2 linked regions of the Macaca mulatta genome follow. The protein of the gene in region 2 interacts with the protein of the main gene of each other region in a pairwise test. Links are inferred from orthologs where the notes say so. Each region holds a gene or a part of one and is shown on either strand. Other genes may lie near its edges.

Region 1 (4,361 bases), on a different chromosome or scaffold from region 2:
CAGCTACTCAGGAGGGTGAGGCAGGAGAATCGCTTGAACCGGGGAGGCGGAGGTTGCAGTGAGCGGAGATTGTGCCATTGCACTCCAGCCTGGGCGACAAGAGCAAAACTCCGTCTTAAAAAAGAAAAAAAAAAAACAAAAAACACATAGCTAAAAAGAAATATTCATGTCAATGGATACTAAAAAAGAACAAATAACAAAATATATTAGGTTTATTGGTAAATGAAGTCCCACACCACACATATAGTAATCTTGTGAATATAGGTAACCAAAAAGCAAACTGTGAAATAAAGTGTCATTAATTTGAAATTCCACGTAGGAATTAATTAGTTCAGACAAAGCACAGTACTTATAAACAAATGTGTCAGTGGAAATTAATTTACTGGGCCGGGCGCAATGGCTCACGCTTATAATCTGAGCATTTTGGGAGGCGAGCAGATCACCTGAGACCAGGAGTTTGAGAACAGCCTGGTCAACATGGTGAAACTCCGTCTCTACTAAAAATACAAAATTTAGCTGGGTTTCCAGAAGGTTTTCAATTTACTTTGCCCATATCCATCAGAGGAATAACTATCTATAGTAGCTATAGATAGTAACAGTAAATGAGCATTGACTTCAACTTAAAGTCATCAGCTGCATTGGCCCCTAACAAGAGAGAAAGCCTGTCCTTTGAAGCTTTTTTTTTTCTTTTTTTTGGATGGAGTACAGTGGTACCATCACAGCTCACTACAGCCTTGACATCCCAGACTCAAGTGATCCTCCCACCTCAGCCTTCCAATTAGCTGGACCACAGGTGCACACTATAATGCCCATCTAATTTTTAAATGTTTTGTAGAGATCGGTTCTTGCTATGTTGCCCAGGCTGGTCTTGAACTCCTATGCTCAAGCAATCCTCCCACCTTGGTCTCCCAAAGTGCTGGGATTACACGTGTGAGTCACTGTGACCAGCTCCTTTCAAGCCAGGTAATACTTGTCCTTTCTACCTATGAAAGTCTGAGATGGCATCTTCTTCCAATAGAAGGCTGTTTCATCTGCACTGAAAATCTGTTGTTTAGTGTACCCACTTTCATTTTCTGCAGCTTCTGCATCAGTACTTGCTGTTTCACTTTGGACTTTTGTTATAGAGAAGGTTTCTTTCCTTAAATCTCAAGAACCAACCTCTGTTTTTTTTTTTAGATAGTCTTGCTCTGTCACCCCGGCTGGAGTGTGGTGGCACAATCACAGCTCCACTGTAGCCTCGACCTCTATGGCTCAAGCCAGCCTTCCTTCTCAGCCTCCCAAGCAGCTGGGACTATAGGTGTGCACCACCACATCCGGCTAAATTGTTTTGTATTTTGTAGAGACAGCATTTCACCATGTTGCCCAGGCTGGTCTCAAACTCCTGGGTTCAAGCAATCCACCCACCTCGGCCTCCCAAAGTGCTGGGGCTACAGGCATGAGCCATTGCACCTAGCCAACATTTGCTACTTTCAAACTTCTGCAGCTTCCTCACCTCTCAGCCTTCACAGAATTGAAGAGAGTTAGGGCCTTGTTCTGGATTAGGCTTTGGTTTAAAGGAATGCTGTGGCTGGTTTGATCTTCTACTCATACCACTCAAACTTCCTCCATATCAGCTTATAACTGGAGTAGCACTTTTAATTTCCATGTATTTGTTTGTTTGATGGAGTTTTGCTCTTGCTGCCCAAGCTGGAGTGCAATGGTGTGTTCTCAGTGCACTGCAACCTCTGCCTCCCGGGTTCAAGTGATTCTCCTGCCTCAGCCTCCCAAAGAGCTGGAATTACAGGTGTGTGCCACCATGCCCGGCTAATTTTGTATTTTTAGTAGAGACGGGGGTTCACCATGTTGGTCAGGTTGGTCTTGAACTCCTGACCTCATGTGATCCACCCACCTCAGCCTCCCAAAGTGCTGGGATTACAAGCGTGAGCCACCGCGCCCGGCCCCATTTTTTTCTTCATATTCACAATTTGGCATGACTTCACATGCCTTCCCAGCTACTCGGGAGGCTGAGGCAGAATGGTGTGAACCTGGGAGGCAGAGCTTGCAGTGAGCCGAGATCGCGCCACCGCACTCCAGCCTGGGCAACAGAGTGAGGCTCCATCTCAAAAAGAAAAAAATCAAACCAACAAAAAAAAAGGAAATGCTGTCAACAGACTTGCTCAACAAGTACATGTCAGTTCCACGCTCCTCAGTCTCATAAAGTCAGGGACTAGAGACCAATCTGTAATTATCAATACGTACCTGCCTTTGAGTGAACCTTCAATGCCAACTAGGAAGGGCGCTTCCAAAACGACGTTATTTGTAACTCCTAGGAACACAAACACGGGTCAGAACTCATACTCTGCGGGCCTTGAAATGGAAAATCTCTCCTCTAGACAGACTCATCCCCGCCATAAATGTCAGGAGACTCCCCAGTTCCCTGCCCCATCCCCAGGCCAAGGAGTTATGTGCTTCCAAATTTTCATTCCGTTTTCTTCCCCAGGTGGTTCTCTGCCACCCGGTGGAGAAGGCGGGAACAACCTCTCGGGCTAGCCTCTGCCTTTCCCGAACGCCTCACTGCACTCACTGGAGAAGACCACGGCCCCAAGGGACCGCGACAGGTCCCAGGCGAGGTGCACCGAGTCGGCGAGCACGGCGTGGCATTGTGCGCACTGGAAAACAGCGCACCTCTCAGGCTGCAGCCAAGACGGCAGCTGCGAGACGGCGGCCGGCTCCTCAGCCCCCAGCCCTGCGGGGCCGAGCGGCGAGGACCCCTTCACCACCTGTGTATCCCACTCCATGGAGGTCGTAAAAGATGCTTCGTCAATCGCCCTCTCAGTGCCATCACAAAAGTCACCCTGGGGCGGCGTTGCACAAGGGGAGCGATGCCGCCGCGGCTGAAACGCCATCTTCTCTCAGCCGGCGCCGTCGTTTCGAATACACGCCAGGCCCCGCCCCAAGCACAGCTCCTGCGTCCTCATTGGACATCGTGGGCAATCCAAGCACTGGAGTCCCAGTCCGCGCACTCGTTACCTGAACCGGCCTTACAGGCCCTTCGGCGCCTGCGTATTCGTGAAGTGTGAGAAAAGCGCGCGACTGTTGGGACGGGAAATCAGCCTTTCTATTGGTCAGGGTTAGAAACCCCGCCTTTGAGGCATTTTCAACCAATGGAAGCGCGGCATTCTTCATTTAAACTGTCTATAAATTTCAGCTTAGTCAAAGTTAAGAGTGGCGCCAGGGATTTGAACCTCGCTTACGAGACTTGGTGATCCATCTTCTGAGTATCACCGGGATTTTGAATCGCGATGATCATCCCCTCCCTAGAGGAGCTGGACTCCCTCAAGTACAGTGACCTGCAGAACTTAGCCAAGAGTCTGGGTCTCCGAGCCAACCTGCGGGTACGACGCTGGCGGGGCAGTTCCCTGGGCGGGCGCGGCGGGAGTAGCGGCCTCAGGGAGATGCGGTGCGAAGGGACCGAGCGGGAAGCCCGGGGACTGAAGCAGCCGTCCCTGCCCCTCGGGCAGTAGATGTGGTTCACGGTGGTCCCAGTTAGAACTCTGATAAACGGAAGAGGAACTGTAGTTTTCACCTCATTTTGAAGCTGGCTTGTCTGGGTGCTCACATGATAAGCCTCTGTTCCGAGGGGTGGTTTGTTGTTTTTCGTTTTTTGTGGTTTTTTTTTTTTTTTTGAAATTACTTTATACCTCTCAGGTCATCGATTACGAAACGCAGGCCCAGAAAGCAGAAGGGGTGTCGTTAATCGTTAGACAATTAAGTAAATAATTGGCTCAGCTTCTAGAAAACCCCACACAGACTTCAGTGATTTGTAATATTGCCGATAATCTCTTGATACTTTATTGATGGACCTGTCAGGGGGAAAGAAAAAATCTACTTTTAGGGGACCACCTCCTTGGGTAAATTTTTATAACTCAGCCCTGATCTAGTATACTCATGTGCTTATTGATGACTGTTGTGGTGATGGTATCTATCAAAACCAGTAAGGTCTTTGACTCCGAGGCTACAAGATGTTAGGGGAATTGGCCGGGCGCGGTGACTCATGCCTGTAATCCCAACACTTTGGGAGGCCAAGGTAGTTGGATCACCTGAGGTCAGGATTTCGAGACCAGCCTGGCCATTAAAAAATTAGCCGGGCGTGGTGGCACACGCCTGTGATCCCAGCTACTCGCCTGTGATCCCAGCTACTCGGGAGGCTGAGGCAGGAGAATCGCCTGAACCTGGGAAGCCAAGGTGGCAGTGAGCCAAGATCGCACCCACTGCACTCCAACCTCGGTGACAGAGCGAGACTCAGTCTCAAACAAAACAAAAACAAACAAACAAAAAACAAGATGTTAGAAGATTTGGGGATTCAATGTAGGATAGCGGTT
Region 2 (2,703 bases):
AAAGACCCAGGTTCCACCATTTAAGAACCATGCAATCTGGGGGAGTCACTCTCCTCTGGCATCCTCACATGTAAAAATGCAGACAGTGGCTGGGCGCGGTGGCTCACGCCTGTAATCCCGACACTTTGGGAGGCCGAAGCGGGCAGATCACTTGAGGTCAGGAGTTTGAGACCAGCCTGACCAACGTGGTGAAACTCCATCTCTACCAAAAATACAAAAATTGGCTGGGCGCGGTGGCTCACACCTGTAATCCCAGCACTTTGGGAGGCCGAGGTGGGTGGATCACGATGGTCAAGACCATCCTAGCTAACACAGTGAAATCCTGTCTCTACTAAAAATACAAAAAATTAGCTGGGCATGGTGGTGGGTGCCTATAGTCCCAGCTACCCGGGAGGCTGAGGCAGGAGAATGGTGTGAACCTGGGAGGCGGAGCTTCCAGTGAGCCGAGATTGTACCACTGTACTCCAGCCTGGGTGACAGAGCAAGACTCCATCTCAAAAAAATAAACAAATAATTAGCCAGGCATGGTGGCAGGCGCCTGTAAACCCCGCTATTCGAGAAGCTGAGGCAAGAGAATCACTTGAACCCGGGAGGCGGAGGTTGCAGTGAGCCAAGATGGCATCACTGCACTCCAGCCTAGGTGACAGAGCCAGACTCCGTCTCAAAAAAAAAAGAAAAAAAATGCAGGTAGTAACAACAACTGGGCTTGTAATGGGCTACTGGGAGAATCAGATAAGACAGCAGACTTGGAAGTGTTTTGTAAACTCGAGGGATTATTATTTCTTGATTGGAGAAAGAGGAGACAGCATTTGGTGATGAAGTCATACAGGTGGATGTCAGGGAGGGTGATCAATCGAAGGATGGGAACTGGAACTGAGAACCCAGCAGGTACTTCTAGGAAGACTCAGCAGTCAGTGGTGACGGTGGCTGAGAGCTCCTGGATGCGCCAGGCGCTGCAGGCCTTGCATAAGATGTGCCCATCCAGCGGGTAGCAGCCCTGACACTCGCCCTCAGAGGAGAGCAGCAGCCCACACTCCTGTTGAAAAAGAAGCAACAATTGGCCGGGTGCGGTGGCTCACACCTGTAATCCCAGCACTTTGAGAAGCCGAGGCGGGTGGATCACAAGGTCAGGAGTTCGAGACCAGCCTGGCCAATATGGTGAAACCCTGTCTCTACTAATACAAAAATCAGCCAGGCGTGGTGGCCAGCACCTGTCATCCCAGCTACTCAGGAGGCTGAGGCAGGAGACTTGCCTGAACCCGGGAGGTGGAGGTTGCAGTGAGCCAAGATCGTGTCACTGCACTCCAGCCTGGGCCACAGATCGAGACTCCATCTCAAAAAAAAAAAAAGAAAGAAAGAAAGAAGCAACAGATTTCCATCAGCCCCAGATCTCTGTGTTCCCCGTCTCGTGCTCTACCCAGCACCGCAGACACTGCCAGCCCCTTGCACGTGCTGGGGGCCCCTGACCTCACACTTGTAACAGCCAATGTGAAAACTTCGATCCAGAGCAACAATTCTCACAGTCTCCTCCTGACCTGGCTCAGGCATTATGGCCCCACCGCACACTGAGCATCTTGGGGCAAACTTCCTGCGGGGGAAGAGAACCAAGAAGGCCATCAAGCCTTGGGGTTGCAGGGCACCAACAATGGAACCCAGAGAAGGTGGGGCATAGGAGGGATTCAGGGAGGCCAGAGGTATGACCTTAGGTCTTGGGGAAGGGATGATGTCAAAGAGAATGAGAGAGGCTAGGTGCAGTGGCTCTAGCCTGTAATGCCCCCACTTTGGGAGGCCAAGGCAGGAGGATTACTTGATGCCAGGCGTTCAAGACCAGCCTAGGCAACACAGCAAGACCATGTCTTTATTAAAAAACAGAAGAAGACTGGGTGCAGTGGCTCACGCCTGCAATCCCTGCACTTTGGGTGGCCGAGGCAGGTGGATCGCTTGAGCTCAGGAGTTTGAGACCAGCTTGGCCAACATGATGAAACCCTGTCTCTACAAAAAATACAAAAAAAAAAAAAATTAGCAAGGCGTGGTAGCACACGCCTGTAATCCCAGCTACTCAGGAGGCTGAGGCAGGTGAATCACTTGAACCCAGGAGGCAGAGGTTGCAGTGAGCTGAGATCCTGCCACTGCACTCCAGCTTGGGTGACAGAGCGAGACTCCATCTCAAAAAAAAAAAAAAAAAAAGCTAACAAAAAACGAAGAAAACTAGCCAGGCATGGTGGCGTGTGCACCTGTAGTCCCAGATACTCAGGAGGCTGAGGTGGGAGGATCACTTGAGCCCAGGAGTTGGAGGCTGCAGTGAGCTATGATCATTTGCCATTGCACTCCAGCCTGGGCAACAGAGTGAAACTCTTGTCTCTAAAAAATAACAATAACAAAGAATGAAGGAGGGCCAGGGGTGGGAAACAGGGAGAGACAGTCCTGGGGCATGAAGAGATGAAAGAGACAGGAAAGGTCAGACATTGTGAGACGAGGTGGAGCCTGGGCCTGACCTGTGAAAGTCCTCAATGCAGTGGATCTGGCTCGTAGCATCCACCGTGAAGGGGATGCCGTCGAGGCCACGGTGACACACCACGCAGGTGAAGCAGCCAGGGTGGTAGGCTTTCCCCATAGCCCGCAGGATCCGGTCCAGGATGGGCTGGGAGCACGTGGCACATTTCTCCAGGGTGGCCTGTTGGGAAGGAAGGCAGGAAGGTCTGG

The links.
Region 1: the proteins of TRIP6 (region 2) and OIP5 interact in binary tests that used the Homo sapiens proteins (3 or more experiments, as listed by UniProt). The two-hybrid records come from large-scale screens. The link is inferred for Macaca mulatta from reciprocal best matches to the Homo sapiens genes TRIP6 and OIP5.

What each region holds. Positions count from the first base shown.
Region 1 is NC_133412.1:18,677,269-18,681,629, forward strand, and holds the start of OIP5 (protein Mis18-beta), read right to left. Parts: upstream 2,933-4,361; 5' UTR 2,886-2,932; coding exon 2,564-2,885; exon of another isoform or gene 2,480-2,563; intron 2,306-2,479; coding exon 2,239-2,305; intron 1-2,238. Other genes in the region: NUSAP1 (nucleolar and spindle-associated protein 1), read left to right, coding at 3,282-3,374. UniProt on the Homo sapiens protein: Required for recruitment of CENPA to centromeres and normal chromosome segregation during mitosis.
Region 2 is NC_133408.1:48,082,028-48,084,730, reverse strand, and holds the end of TRIP6 (thyroid receptor-interacting protein 6), read right to left. Parts: intron 2,675-2,703; coding exon 2,496-2,674; exon of another isoform or gene 1,915-2,495; intron 1,589-1,914; coding exon 1,468-1,588; intron 1,096-1,467; exon of another isoform or gene 1,037-1,095; coding exon 905-1,036; coding exon of another isoform or gene 895-904; 3' UTR 754-894; downstream 1-753. UniProt on the Homo sapiens protein: Relays signals from the cell surface to the nucleus to weaken adherens junction and promote actin cytoskeleton reorganization and cell invasiveness. Involved in lysophosphatidic acid-induced cell adhesion and migration.